3 linked regions of the Rattus norvegicus genome follow. The protein of the gene in region 1 interacts with the protein of each later gene in a pairwise test. Links are inferred from orthologs where the notes say so. Each region holds a gene or a part of one and is shown on either strand. Other genes may lie near its edges.

What was found. The genes of interacting proteins can lie anywhere in the genome.
Region 2: the proteins of Cdk5rap3 (region 1) and Tspyl4 interact in binary tests that used the Homo sapiens proteins (3 or more experiments, as listed by UniProt). The two-hybrid records come from large-scale screens. The link is inferred for Rattus norvegicus from reciprocal best matches to the Homo sapiens genes CDK5RAP3 and TSPYL4.
Region 3: the proteins of Cdk5rap3 (region 1) and Disc1 interact in a two-hybrid assay, tested with the Homo sapiens proteins (2 studies listed by BioGRID and IntAct). The link is inferred for Rattus norvegicus from reciprocal best matches to the Homo sapiens genes CDK5RAP3 and DISC1.

What each region holds. Positions count from the first base shown.
Region 1 is NC_086028.1:82,396,907-82,402,163, reverse strand, and holds the start of Cdk5rap3 (CDK5 regulatory subunit-associated protein 3), read left to right. Parts: upstream 1-2,162; 5' UTR 2,163-2,259; coding exon 2,260-2,265; intron 2,266-2,451; coding exon 2,452-2,497; intron 2,498-4,871; exon of another isoform or gene 4,872-4,953; coding exon 4,954-5,085; intron 5,086-5,257. UniProt on the Homo sapiens protein: Substrate adapter of E3 ligase complexes mediating ufmylation, the covalent attachment of the ubiquitin-like modifier UFM1 to substrate proteins, and which is involved in various processes, such as ribosome recycling and reticulophagy (also called ER-phagy).
Region 2 is NC_086038.1:39,651,805-39,656,711, forward strand, and holds Tspyl4 (testis-specific Y-encoded-like protein 4), read left to right. Parts: upstream 1-1,983; 5' UTR 1,984-2,040; coding exon 2,041-3,264; 3' UTR 3,265-3,980; downstream 3,981-4,907.
Region 3 is NC_086037.1:69,909,974-69,915,202, forward strand, and holds the start of Disc1 (disrupted in schizophrenia 1 homolog), read left to right. Parts: upstream 1-2,002; 5' UTR 2,003-2,157; coding exon 2,158-2,212; intron 2,213-5,229. UniProt on the Homo sapiens protein: Involved in the regulation of multiple aspects of embryonic and adult neurogenesis. Required for neural progenitor proliferation in the ventrical/subventrical zone during embryonic brain development and in the adult dentate gyrus of the hippocampus.

The DNA of each region.
Region 1 (5,257 bases):
ATGTGGTGCTAGGGACAGAACTCAGGGGTTCACTCACACAGGCAAGCACTGGAACCCAGGGGTTCACTCACACAGGCAAGCACTGGAACCCAGGGGTTCATGCACACAGGCAAGCACTGGAACCCAGGGGTTCACTCACACAGGCAAGCACTGGAACCCAGGGGTTCACACACACAGGCAAGCACTCTACCAACTGAGCTCCATCCTTACTTGAGCTCTGTACCTTTCTGTGTTTATTTATTTAAGCCCCTAAATAGAAACACCCTGAGATAGGATGGCGTTATCTCCACCTTGAAAGAACCATGGCTATTGGAGAAGTGTGGAAACCGTCCAAAATCTCACAGGGCCAGAATCTAGGTCTTCCCACTATAGCAGCACACCAGGCAGTCCAAAATCTACCAAGCCCTGGGTATTGTGTTGCGTTGGAAGGTAAATGAAGAAGGAAGACAGCATTTAGAAATGCCATACCGGGGCTGGGGATTTAGCTCAGTGGTAGAGTGCTTACCTAGGAAGCGCAAGGCCCTGGGTTCGGTCCCCAGCTCCGAAAAAAAAGAACCAAAAAAAAAAAAAAAAAAAAAAAAAAAAAAGAAATGCCATACCCAGACCTGCAGGGTCCCTGGGATTTCTTATGGCTTTCTCTCACCCTCTTCCTTCAGCCTTTCCACATCTCGTTCAAATCTGAAGGCCTCCCTTGAACGGAGTTGCCACTGTCCCAGGACAACTCAGTGTGTGACTTTCCAAGCTGTCCTTCTTTCCAGCCTGTCTGCAATCTAAATACAGACCCAAGTACCTTCTATACACTTTCCATTTGACGGTTTCCCAGCATTGCCAACTCCACAAGTTCAAAGCCCCTCTTCTCCAGCACATGGTCCACATCCAGTGTCGCTGTCTCAGGAGAGGGCACTCCCACTCAACACTTAAGTGGCGTGCACGTGTGTGTGTGTGTGTGTGTGTGTGTGTGTGTGTGTGTGTGTGTGTTTTGTTTTTGGAGACAGGGTTTCTCTGTGTAGGTCTGGCTTTGCTGGAACTAGCTTTAGACCAGGCTGAATTTGAACTCAGAGGTTTAACTGCCTCTGCCTCCAGTGCTGGGATTAAAGGTGTGCGCCACCACTGCCTAGCTTGAGTGTCATCTTTGAGGCCTCCTCAGGCATTTGGCCAATCCATTACCAACCCCTGTCCATTTTCCTCCTAAATGTCTTTCAACTTCTGCTTATCTTCTCCCTACAGCTTCTGACTAGAGGCCCCAACCTCTGCCTTACAGGCTCCTAATTGCTCTGTCCCCAGTCTTATCACCCGTTAACTGGTTCTTCTAACCAATATATGTATGTCCTTCCTTGTACCGAACCCTTCACTGGTTCCTCGATGTCTGCAGGGGTGAAGTCCAAGCTCTTTAATGAGGCCCTCTTTGTTATGATTCTTATATTTTTACAGCCTTCTCCCCGGTCACTGCCTTAAACATTTAACTGCATAGAGGTGGACCTGAGATCAGTCATAGGCCAGAGACCTGCGGCATAGTGTCCTCTTGAAATCTGTCGTAAACAAGGAACCTTGCATTTCACTTTAAGTTGGACCGTGTATATTTTGCCAGTCTCCCTGTCCTGTCCCTGAACCACTTGTGGCCTTAAAGTTTGTTCAGTCTCTTCCATCAGGAACACCCTTTCCAGGCATCGTCCTTCCCTCTGCAACTTTTCCTCTAATAATCAATGCGAGTGTTACTTCCCTCTCCCTTCCCTTTCCCGGTCGTCCAATGGGAGGACAAAATGTGTCAAGAGCCTCAAGAGACCCACAACGTTCTATATGTGGTAAAGGGAGAAAAAGGTGGGAAGAAAGTATTGTTTTAACTACTTTCAAACGCCATCTGGAGGGCACTAGGACCTGTCTGCGGACGAGTTCGTTCTCTAACAGAGGAATCCGCGCTTGACAGCGGAGAAAGCAGACTACACCGGCTCTTGGGCGCCCTCTACTGCCATCGCGCAAGCGCAACACCTCTTCCTGGAAATCACCTAGCCCGTACCCGCCTCTCATCTCCCATTGGCTACTCCCTATTCTCCCGCCCTCCGGTGCTCAGCCAATCAGAACCTCTTGGTGGGCGGGGCTTTCGGCAGAGGGGCGGGGCGTAGGCTTGGATTGGCTCCGCTGAAGACGGCGACGTGGCTGAAGGAGGCCGGTTTGTTTCTGAATTGAGGCTCAGGCACGCCGGCTCAGGATTGGTGCTGGGCCGGGCCGGGGTCTTTGGCCGGAAGCGGAAGTGGAAAAAGGATGCAGGTGTGGGGACCAGGGCTGGAGAAACTGGGTCTGTTATGGGACTCCTGTCCTGCCTCTTGATGCCCTCCCGTCCTCAGTCGGGCGCTCTGCCCCTGAAGGGTGGCGGTTGGGTTCGTGGAATGAGCGCGCGCGAGGCACATCGCCTGCCTGCGTTCACGCCTCCCTCCCGGTTGTATTTCCCACCAGGACCATCAGCACGTGCCCATCGACATCCAGACCAGCAAGCTGCTCGGTAGGAGAGGGCGCCCCCGCGCGTTCGGCTGTCGGGGGAGGTCTGCTAGTTGCCCCCTGTCACTAGCAGCCAGGAGCTGTCAAAGTTCTGGTTGAGATGCCTTAGTCTAGCGACCTGTTTGCTCTGCAAGGAAGGAAGCATGGAAAGTCTGTACTGGCTCCGTATTTTCTACTTTTTTTTTTTTTTTGGTTCTTTTTTTCGGAGCTGGGGACCGAACCCAGGGTCTTGCGCTACCTAGGCAAGCGCTCTACCACTGAGCTAAATCCCCAACCCCCGTATTTTCTACTTTTAACATTTATAACGTAGTATCAAAACGTATTCAGGAACACAGGACGAGTGGATAGTGTTAAAGATGGACAATTACCAAATGGCTGATCCGTTTGGAACTTGTCTGTTTGGTTCTGTCTTCATGCTTTTTGCATTATTTTGGGTGGGTAAACCCTTCCCACTTATTTAATAAATTTCTATCTCTCTTTGGATTTAGGGAGAAAAGGGCCTTCAAACTCAGATACAGACCTTTTATGCCAGCCATGGTAGCTCATGCTGGTAACCATAATACTTGGGAGACAACTGAGGCAGGAGGATTGGGCAGTTCTCAAGACAGCCTGGTTTACATAGCAAGTTCCAAGCTATGTATTTGCTAACAATGAACACTTACCCCGAATTCATCCCCCAAAAAGCCTTTAGTCCTAGCACTCAGGAGGCAGAGCCAGCCTGGTCTCCATAGCAAGCTCCAGGGCAGCCAGAACTACATGGAGAGACCCTGACAGAGAGACAAGAAGACCCTTTAGTGGCCAGGTTGTCTCTGCATCTGGTTTACATCCCTTAATCTGTCACTTCTGGACATGTGCACAGCCCCTGGCACTCGAAATGTTTACAGATTCGCCAGTCCACTGTTAATCACATCCTTGAGAGGGTGTTTGCGGACCTTAGCCCCTTGTAGGAATTCTGACGTGGGCTGTCTTCCTTTCTGACCACTTGAGAGGAACTCATCAGAGACAATTTCTGACACTATAGTTGTTTGAGATAAGTTGACCAGTTGACAGACTTGTTAACAAGGCCACCTTTGAAATTGAGAGGGGGCGTTCGGTCCTTTGACGGGCACTGTCTTAGCCTCCCAAGTGCAAGGCACCCAGTGTGTGGACACCCGCTGTGTTTACCCTAGTGTGGGAGCTTGTCCTCAAGTCCTCAGAGGAACCAGTGGGACAGCATGCACTGAGCATTTGTTCCACACCCCCTGCCACTTTTATACTTGTCCCTTTCAAAACGAAATCCCTGAGGTTCATTGAGTCACTGTGGTACATGAGGCACGGTGCATAGCACATCATCCTATGTGTGGGGAAACGGAAGCACAGAGAGATAGAAACTGAAAGCCAGCAAGATGGCTGCACAGTAGGTAAATGTTCTTACCGTCAAACCTGATGACCTGAGTTCTGGATCAGGACCCCGTGATGGAAGGAGAGAACTGGCTCTCGGAAGTTGTCGTCTGATCTCCACTTGTGAGCCGTGGCACATGGGTACACACACGCATATGTGCACACTGAATAACTAAACAATATAATTAAGTTTTTAATTAAAAATGTCTTTAAGAACTTGATAATTAGACCCCAGGACCATCTAACCATAAAACCTTGGTTTCTCTCCTTAGGAAATGATCATAGCTGTTAGCCCTCAAAACACATAAGCTACAGTGTAGTCATGTGGCAGAGTGGTTCTTCAGAGTTAAAAACAGACCAGTGACTAGGCCGGGCAGTGTAGTGTACTCCTTTAACCCAGCACTGGGGAGGCAGAGGCTTTCCGTGAGATTGAGGGCAACCTGATCTATATAGTGAGTTCCAGGAGGACAGCCAGGGCTACACAGAGAAACCCTGTCTCAAAAAAAAAAAAAAAAAAACAAAAAAAACTAACAGGCCAGCCTTTGGGGCGAGGTAGTGTTACGTTAGGGGCTTTACAGTTGTTCGTTCATCCGGTACTTGGCATAACCACCTTGTGTTTTCCATTGTCGTGGTTAATCCCAGCCCCGAGGAAATGGAAGTTGAGCAGCACCTCTGTCAACAAGAAAGATATAATTACACAAGAAGCGAAAATATTATGGAGAATTTAGAATGGTCAAAAGTGGCACTTTCATGTCAGGACCAATTTAAAGTTTTTCTTTATCCCCGTGTTAAGGCGGTTGCTCTGTAAAACTCATACCGGGGATAAAGTTGGGGCGCCAGAGACTGTTTAGCCCAAGCATCTCTCTGAGTCTGTCTGTCTCTTCATCTCTTCCCATCCCCTTCTCTCTCTCTCTCTCTCTCTCTCTCTCTCTCTCTCTCTCTCTCTCTCTCTTTCTCTGATACCTCAGCCAATACAAAGACTTTTGTTCAATATCCAGTAGGCCGACACTTGAACTGATGAATTCCCAGTGGGGAGTTAGTGGTATGGCGGACCATGGTGACCTGCTGGTTCTCATGCAGATTGGCTGGTGGACAGAAGACACTGCAACTTAAAATGGCAAAGCCTGGTGCTGACCATCCGGGAAAAGATCAACACCGCCATCCAGGACATGCCAGAGAGCCAAGAGATTGCCCAGCTGCTCTCTGGTTCCTGTGAGTGATTTGGAGCCCCCTCCTTCCGGGAGACATTCCCTTGTTGAACCTCCAGGGCGGACCCCAGAGCGAGAGTTTTTTTTTCTGGGTCAGAGATGCTGGCGGCAGAGCACAGGGGTCAGCCACTCGTAGCAGTCAGAGGAGGAGAGGAAGGCGGTGGGATTCTGAGAGC
Region 2 (4,907 bases), on another chromosome or scaffold:
CTGTCTCCCTTCTCCCTTCCCCTATCCCCTATCTCCTTTCTGTCTCCCTTCTCCCTGCCCCCTCTCATATATGTGTAATAATATACTGAATTTCAAGAATTTCAAGAAAAATAGTCAATATAAATTATTATGTAATATATAATATGATAAATATAATATAAGCAGGGGTGTTTCCAGCAGTAGAAAAACAAATCTTTAAAACACTGATATATATATATATATATGTATATATATATATATATATATATATATATGAGAAAGAAGTCCACTTATGATTTTCTCATTTTTATGAAGTGATGAAATAGCAAACTTTTTTCTTATTCCTACATTGTCCTGTACCTTGGCTCAGCACTTGATGATTCTGTGTTTTGTTTTAGGCTAAAGTCCAAGAGTGTTTGTTATTCTTTCAACAGCGTGAAGAGTCTTTAGGTAAAGAAGCAGTGTAAGGTTAAAGAGTAACTCAAGAGTCACAGCGTCGATTACAGCACAGTGTTTATATGTTTACAAAGAAAGTTAATGATACATTGATTTCACCTCAATAAGGCAAAAGAACATTTGTTAAGAGAAAAAGGAAAGGGAGACAGAAAAATAATTATTTGTGTGTATATTTTTATTTTATTTAGATAATTGATCAATTGATTTTTTTCCCCCTTTTGTTGGGATAGGGGCTAGGAAGAGCACAGTCTGGGCATCATACTCTCTTTGAATAAGGACACTCAACTTTGGAGTTAAAAAATCAAACTGCATGATATGCCATGTGTCGTTCTTATCACCTCAGAGTCTTGGTTGAACCAGATGCCATCATGTCACTCATTAGAGTTCTTTGGGTAATGTTGTTTTTCTTAAACCCCTATTCTAAGACTCTTATTGTAGCGAAGCCATACTCTGGGCAGAATTAAATTTCCCAGGGCAAAGAGCTGGTTCTAATAGGAATTGAAAAGTTAAATTTGCAAAATTTAAGTCTCTTTGATCTTTCCTATCCCTAAGGATTAACATCCTCATTCTCAGACTTTAGCAAACAGACAGTGATGCTCAAATAAATTATATATATATATATATAATTTATTTGAATAAAGGACTGAATAAATAAATACATTTTCTAAATTGATTACTTCCTTTTTAAGTAGATATTTTAAAAACACAATTGCTTAAGTGTCTGAAAGAACATTATTGATTGATTCTACCTTCACAAAGGCAAATTTGGGCAAACATTAGTTGGCGTCATACCCACAGGCACGAAGCAGAACCTACGATCATAACCCAAGGCAAAGGGGGATTAATATGTATCATTTTAGAAATTAAAATCCTCTAAGATTATATCTCCTTCAGCAATTCTCAAGGGTTACTAACTCTGTACATGACACGCGTTGTGGCCACCTGTAAGGAGCAGTTTACGATTTATTTAAAAGTGAAGAAATATCCAGTTGCTTTGTCGATGTTGGCCAATGTATACAACATCAAAATTTCTGCAGAAATCGAAATTAACCTTTGGAATATCTTTGCTTGAAAATAAAAACAGCAACGACACTTTTTTTTTCCTTTTCCAAAATCGGATTCTGCGCAATTCTTCAGTAGTCACCATGAATCGAATCTGTGTCCGAAAAAAGGAAGGCCTGTGAGCTGGTGAATTCGCTTCTCTATTCCTGAGAAGCTTGGTGAAATCTGAACTTAATAGACAATAGGTTGTATTTTAAAATTTATTTTGAGACATGGTTTAGATACCATCGAAATTAATTTAGAGACGAATAGATATAAGAAATAATTAGGCATCCATTTATGTAAATACTCAATTTCCCAGATGAGATTAAATTTACAGCATCATTTAAAAAGACAAAAAGAACACACTTGATTGACAAAAGAAATTACCTGGGCTGTGAGTTCTCGCGCTATGGTTAGTTGCAGCTGGTACCCTGACGTCACAGGTTGCCATGGTAGCACTAGCCCAGAAGAAAAAGGGGTGGAGCTAAGCACTCACTGCGGTGCTGCCCTGCGTCTGCAGAGAACAAGGAAAGCTTCTCTGCAGGGCTGTCAGCTGCCAAAATGAACGGCGTGGAAGGGAACAACGAGCTCCCTCTCGCTAACACCTCGACCTCCGCCCTTGTCCCGGAAGATCTGGATCTGAAGCAAGACCAGCCGCTCAGCGAGGAAACTGACACGGTGCGGGAGATGGAGGCTGCAGGTGAGGCCGGTGCGGAGGGAGGCGCGTCCCCCGATTCGGAGCACTGCGACCCCCAGCTCTGCCTCCGAGTGGCTGAGAATGGCTGTGCTGCCGCAGCGGGAGAGGGGCTGGAGGATGGTCTGTCTTCATCAAAGTGTGGGGACGCACCCTTGGCGTCTGTGGCAGCCAACGACAGCAATAAAAATGGCTGTCAGCTTGCAGGGCCGCTCAGCCCTGCTAAGCCAAAAACTCTGGAAGCCAGTGGTGCAGTGGGCCTGGGGTCGCAGATGATGCCAGGGCCGAAGAAGACCAAGGTAATGACTACCAAGGGCGCCATCTCTGCGACTACAGGCAAGGAAGGAGAAGCAGGGGCGGCAATGCAGGAAAAGAAGGGGGTGCAGAAAGAAAAAAAGGCAGCTGGAGGAGGGAAAGACGAGACTCGTCCTAGAGCCCCTAAGATCAATAACTGCATGGACTCCCTGGAAGCCATCGATCAAGAGCTGTCAAATGTAAATGCGCAAGCTGACAGGGCCTTCCTCCAGCTGGAACGCAAATTTGGGCGGATGAGAAGGCTCCACATGCAGCGCCGAAGTTTCATCATCCAAAACATCCCAGGTTTCTGGGTCACAGCGTTTCGGAACCACCCGCAACTGTCACCGATGATCAGTGGCCAAGATGAAGACATGATGAGGTACATGATCAATTTAGAGGTGGAGGAGCTTAAGCACCCAAGAGCAGGGTGCAAATTTAAGTTCATCTTCCAAAGCAACCCCTACTTCCGAAATGAGGGGCTGGTCAAAGAGTACGAGCGCAGATCCTCAGGTCGAGTGGTGTCGCTCTCTACGCCAATCCGCTGGCACCGGGGTCAAGAACCCCAGGCCCATATCCACAGGAATAGAGAGGGGAACACGATTCCCAGTTTCTTCAATTGGTTCTCAGACCACAGCCTCCTAGAATTCGACAGAATAGCTGAAATTATCAAAGGGGAGCTTTGGTCCAATCCCCTACAATACTACCTGATGGGCGATGGGCCACGCAGAGGAGTTCGAGTCCCACCAAGGCAGCCAGTGGAGAGTCCCAGGTCCTTCAGGTTCCAGTCTGGCTAAGCTCTGCCCTCGTGAGAAGCTCTTACAGAAGAGTCCTTACCACCTTCTCAGCTTGGCTAGCAGCATGCAGCCTTCTGTCTGCTTTCTCTTCCTTGGATTGTGTCCTTTGGTTCTTCTAAGTCTCCGGTAGTTTCAAGGTTGTGGCTTCCAAGTCTTTGCTCTTCTTTCTCTTGGCCATCACGATGTCCTGCATAGTGTTAATGGTGTTCCAAGTGCATGGCCTCCAAACTGCTTCTATGCCAAGCTCACGTGCTGTAGTTTGTACTGCTTTTCTTTGCATGGCTTGGTTCCTGTCTGTGATCTTCTAGGTTTTTTGTTTTCTTTTTTAAAAGTGGTTCTCTATCAAAAGAAAGCTTGACATATCCTTACCAAGAACTAGCCAGATTTCATACTGTGTTCCCGATATCTATGTACTGTGAAGAACTGTGAGTTTCGCCACTGCAAGATGGGACTGTATCCCAATCCAGCCATCAGCCCAACAGGACATTCCAAGCTGTCACCAACTGATCCTAGCTGTCTTCCTGGGCCTTTGCCATTTACCCTGCTTTTTATCTATAGAATGAGCAGGTGGCTGGTAGGTGACTACTAGGTAAGAGTGAAGTATTAGGTGAGGAGTGTTTTCTGTCACCACATTGTTCTTGTACCAATGCATCATGATCAGCTTGGATCAGCTACTGACTGTCTGATATTTCTAACCCCCAACACAAAAAAAAAAAGAGAAAAGAAATGAAAACAAAAACCTTTAAAGGGAATAGACTTTGACCCAGTTTAACTTGCATTTCTGTCCTGCGGTAGAGTTGTTGGGGAAGGCTGTGTGTGTGTGTGTGTGTGTGTGTGTGTGTGTGTGTGTGTGTGTACGCACATTTGTGCTCTTTGTGTATGTGTTCATGGATCATAAATGAGAGGTGAAAAATCTGTTGCTCAGTTTATGAATTGTACAGGAATTGAAGAAACACTGGAGTCTTGTTGGATTGGAAACTGGAAGGAGTCAGTGCAGAAAAGGTAGAGGGAAAGGAATTGGTCCAGGGAATCAAAATAAGGGCTATGGGAACCTGTATAATTGCACACTGCTTCTCTCCTGGTTGGATTGGCACAGGTCCAAGCAGTTCCTCAGGAACTGTCTAAAGACCTAAGTTCCTAGGCAGCACACAGGACCCCCTTCTGAATCAGTTCCCGTGGCTCGGTTAGCTGCTGGGCAGAATCTGTAGTCACATGTGGCAGTGCCCAAGCTAAGCTTAAGTGGCTCCATTCTAGAAGTTAGTTCTTCTGAGCCCTCACCAACAAATTATTCCTAATCTGGGCAACTTTGACAGGTAACTCCCCCTCTTCCTGTGTTCACACCCACTCTGGTTAAGTCAAAATTGGCTAGGTTGGGGCAGTTAGAAATCCTTTGGGGCACACGAGGCTTGCTCTGCCTTTCTCTCTTTGGCTCCTCTCTTTCCTTCCTCCCTTCTTTCTCTTTGAAGCAGTTGCAGCCCAGAGACAGAAAAACAAAACATACAACAGTTTTTTTGTTTTTTTTTTTTTAATTTGTCCTCCCTTTGGTTAAGTGCAGGCAGGAAAAGGTACTGTAAAGTAGACTCAAAATCTCTCACTGCTCTGACTCTCGCCCTACCCAGAGCAATGTCTGAAAATTTCAAGGC
Region 3 (5,229 bases), on another chromosome or scaffold:
CCACAGTGGCTGCTGCGGCCTGGTGGGCGTGAGTGAATAGAGATCTGGTTGGCAGAGCTCCCACTGCCACATCCATCCCATAGCTGCCCTGGCCACCATGTTCACGAGCCCATGGGGGTCACAACAGGGCAGCTGGAGAAAGAGGTGGGCTGCTATCCCCAGAACACGCCATCTCTCTGAGGCCACCTCCTGGTGAGCACTCACAGATGAAACACAATCTCCATTTTTATGCCTGTGCACCTGAGGGCGTGCGTGTGCACAGGCGCTCACTAACAACATGGTGACCAAATTAAAAAAAATCTGATTCTGATGATATTGTAAGTTTTAAAACTTTTATTTTCATTTTGTGTATGTGTCTGTCTGTCTGTCTGTCTGTCTCTCTCTCTGTGTTTGCGTGTGCGCGTGAGAGAGAGAGAGAGACAGACAGACAGACATGGCCAGACGAGGGTGTTTGATCAGACCTCTGGAGCTGCAGTTACTCAGGATAGATGCTGTGAATCTGAACTCTGGTCCTCTGCAGGATTCTGCAGGACCAGTATGTTCTCTCTCTCTCTCTCTCTCTCTCTCTCTCTCTCTCTCTCTCAATTATTTGTTTATTTTTTTAAATATTTATTTATTATAGATAAGTACATTGTAGCTGTCCTCAGACACACCAGAAGAGGGCATCGGATCCCATTACAGATGGTTGTGAGTCATCATGTGGTTGCTAGGAATTGAACTCAGGACCTCAGGAAGAGCAGTCAGTGCTCTTAACCACTGAGCCATCTCTCCAGTCCACAGTATGTTCTCTTAGCTGTCAGGCCAGCTTCCCGGCCCGTTTTAAGACAGTTTATGTTATGTATTCAGAGATATTCCTAGCGATCCTTGGGTGCAAGTCAGAGATACCTGAGAGCATTCAATGGCAGGCTGGCCAATTCATCTGCATTTGCTATGGAATACCTCTTGGGGGAGGAGAGGGTTAATTTTAGCTTACCACTTGATCACAGGCCACCACTGAGAGGAGCCAAGGCAGGAGCCTGAAGGCAGGCCTGCTTACTATAACACACAGCATTAACCTCCAACCAAGAGCTCACCTCACTGCCAAGCAGGTACAGCAGGAACCGCAGAGGATGCTGTTTGCCAGCTGGCTCATAGATGGGCTTCAGTTCAGTTAGCTTTCTTGGTTAGTTCAAGACCTAGGTAATGGTGCCGCCCACAGTGGGCTGGGCCTTCGAAGGCCAGTTAACTGTCAAGACATTTCTTACAGACACAATCTGCCCTAACCCTAGCCCTGGGCTGTGTCAAACGGACAGGTAAAGCTAACTAGGACACTGACAGCCCCTTTTCCAACTGGATTTTCACTAAATCCAGACTCTCTGCTCATGTCTTTATCAACTTCAAGCCCCATCCACCCATGCTAACGTTAAGGCTCCTGGTAACAGGCAACTGGCTGCCCCACCTCTCCAGGGCCTTGTCTTCCAGTGGTCACAGGTTCCTCACTTCCTGTAGAAACTCTCCCATGCTTCTTCCTAGCGTCCCACTCCTCCCCCACGTTCCACCCACAGCCAGGCCTCCTGGCTTCAGGCTGACTACTCCCCACAGTTCAGTTTTGTAGGTTTATTTTTGCCTCCGGGTCCAGAGGGCCAGGTTACCCGTGACTGGCACTTCCTGGACCCAGTGTCCTGTAGCAGGTGCTTTGCTGGAGCAGCCAAAGGGAAGGGATGGTGGAGGTGAGCCAGCTGCTAGGAGCTTGGCACAGGCTTGTGTGCTCCTGGCCAGCCCCGCGCTGCCAGCGATCCTCAAGTCATTTTTAACAGCTGCTCCCACCCCCCAACCTGTCATCTGTCACTTGGTAGGAAGAAGTCCCTCTCTTGTCCACCCTGCCTTTTACTCCCAGGGTCGGGGAAGCGCCCAGTTTTTCGGTCCCTGGTCACCCTGCCCCATCACACTTCCCCTCCTTGGTTTCCTTCAAGTGAAAAGCAAAACTTTCTGCGCGCTGCGGTCTGGGAGCCGCGAGGGGCGGCGCGCGTGTGCGAGGGGGCCGAAGCTGGAGAGGAAGCGGCGGTCCTGGGCAGGAGGAAGGAGCCAGCCCTCGGCTCGGCCCCCTGCCCGTTTCCCGCCGCCTCCGCGGTCGCAGTCACCACCGTTGCCGCCGTCCGGAGCGCAGCCAGCCGCACGATGCAGGGCGCGGGTTCCCGGGGCGCTTGGATCCACAGTCCGAGCCACTGCCCAGGTAGGGCCCGGGGTCTGACGGAAGGCGAGCGCGGCCTGCCGAGATCCGGGCGCACCCCGGTGCGGGGGAGGGAAACCGAGGCAGGGAGCGGGGCGTGCCGGGTGCGGGCTGTCGCGTCTCCGGCTGCCACTGCAGCTCCCGTCCAAGCGCGTCCCCGCTGGGGGGAGCCTGGCGGCCTGGGGCGCAGTCGGTGGAGGGCGGCGTCCGCAGCGCCTGAGTGCAGCTCGGTCCTGGGACTCTCTCTCGCGTGGCCGGCGCGGACCCTGTGGGGACGCAGGGCGAGGTTGGGAGAGGTGTGGGAACTGCAGCCCGCACCTCCCGTGGGGCTGCTCGCCGCCCACTTCCGAGTGTGGACTGTGACGCGCAGGGCAGCGCAGGCTGAGGGGACCCACTCCATTTTCCCCCGTCAGCATGGGCCACCTACCAACCCTAGTGATGACATCGAGTTAAGTGGGCGGCCGCTTTTCAACAATGACCTCCGCAACTCACTGTCAGAAAACCAAGGAAATGAATGTGATGGCGCACGCCTCTGTTGCTAGTACGCAAGAGACTGAGCCAGGAGGATTGCGGACACTTTCTAATACAGCCTGAGACGCTATCTCAAAAACCCAAATCAAACCAGAATAACGGAAAAACAAAGCAAAGCAAAACAAAACAAAAACAAGAAAAAAACAAAAACCAAGCAGGGAGCCCAGCTCCAGACTGGGCTTTGCAGTTTGGGCGTGCCGTGCTGAAGGAGAGAGGGCAAGGGACTTAGGCTCTTATTTTAGCTCTTGGAGCCTCAGTTTGCCCATTTGTGAAAGGGGCACTAGCCACCCGCTTGCCTGTCTCCTTAACTAGGTTCTATGAAGAATTTTTTTTTTGCAAATGGGAGTTAGAAAACACAGGGTTGATGGGTGAGTGTAGGGTGAGAGTCTCCTGCACATGCGTCCTAGACTCGGGCTTGCCTCAGTTTTTCAATTTGCAAAATGGAGCTGATTTTCCTCCCGACTTGGTCGGGTTTTTAAAGGGTTTAATGTGGTAGGAGGGCATTAAACCCCTGGTTTAATGTGTCTGAGATACACAGCAAGCTCTCAAAAATCTTTTAGTTGCCCAGGTTAGCCTTAAATCCCCTGCATACCCTAGGCTGGCCTCCAATTCGCTAGCCTTGGCCTCCCAAGCGCTGGGATTACAGGTGTGCTCCACTACGCATGGGTCCCTAAGTATTTATTTATTTTTTTGACCGTACAAGACCTAATAATTACGGGTAATACAGGAATGCCAGTGTGAGTTAGTTAGCGTCTGAATTACAGGATATTTTAAAAGACATTTGGCATCTGATGTGGAGACTGTCAAGGTTTAGCCAGGACTCTGCTCACAGCAAAAAGAGCCCTGGATGAGAACCCTGCATTCTGAGCTGCCTCTCCCAGCCTCGGTTCTCTCTTCTGTTGACAGAAAGAGAAAGCACCGTTCACACTGAGTGTTGCCCTAGGATCAGGAGAAGCAGAACATCTGGAACTGGGGCTGGTGCCACCTTTGCAGAAAATGCATGGGCCAGGCACCTGCTCCTGCCCTAGGATGAGGTCCTCCTCAAACCTGTGAGGGCTGGTGCTACCATTCTCATCTTTTCTTCCATGAGGCAAGGGCTAGTCACCTGCCTGTGGCTTTGGTTGTTAAACAAGGACTGAGGCTCAGAAACCAGGTGCTGGTGTCTCCAATCACTGGCTGAAGGGAAGCCATGAGGTAGAGCCCAGGTTGAGAGTAGACCTTTTCTGGTCAAAGGCAATGCTTGGTCTGTTTCTGCCTTTTATACCTATTTTGTCATCTATCTATCTATCTATCTATCTATCTATCTATCTATCTACATCTATCTACCTCTATCTATCATCTATCTATCTATCTCTCTATCTATCATCTATTTATATCTATCATCTATCTACCTCTACTATCTATCTATTATCTATATGTCTATCATTAATCTATCATCTATCTATCTAACATCTATCTAACATCTATCTACCTCTATCTACCTACCTACCTATCTATTATCTATGTCTACTATCTATCTATCTATCTATCTATCTATCTATCTATCTATCATCTATCTCTCTCTATCTATTATCTATGTGTCTATTATCTATCTATCTACATCTATCTATCATCTATCTCTCTATTATCTATATGTCTATCATCTATCTATCTATCTATCTATCTATCTATCTATCTATCTACCTACCTACCTATCTCCAGCCATCTGCTTACCTACCTACATGCAGTACTAGGGACCACACCTAGGACTTTGTGCAATGCTAGACAAGCAGGTGAGCACTTCAGCACACCGTCCTACCTCTAGCTGGCATTTTTCATAATTGCAGACCCTAACAAAATGAGAGTAAATCACAGGAAGAACTTCGCCTTCCCCCTAATGTAATATTTTTATTGATTATTTGGGAATTTTATACAAATGCAATGCATCCCACCCCACTCACTTCCTATTCCTGCCACCCTCCCACCTTTGTGCCTCTCCTCCCCTCAACAAACAAACATCACCAAATTCAATTTGTGTCTCTCACACAGTCATTGTGTTGCTCCCAGTGGCCAGTCCCTTAGAGAGACCTGAGCCCCCTACTCCCTCTGCCTCCTGCAGAAAGAACTTTGCAAACACTTTAATTTCATCTTTTATTTTATAAGGTTCTATTTTGTGATATCTTCTTGCAGAAGAAGAATGAACTATAAAAACTTAACCAAGTCAAATGGTCTTAAACTTTGAAAGAATGCGTTGTGAGACCTTCGTCTGAATCTCAAAGTTCGGTCTACTGGATGTTCGATTTTAACAACTTGCCAGAGGCAGGCGGGGCGGGGCGGGGCGGTAGCCTGTAAGGAGGAGATTTTTTGTCAGACGGTCACTTCGCTGAGAGTCCTAGGACAGGCAGAAGGGACCTCAGTGCTACCCAAGATGAAAGGAGGCGTTTCAGATTGGAGAACCCAGGCTGGGGCTCTGTTACAAAAGGAATTCCCAGTTCCTCTGAACTAGATGT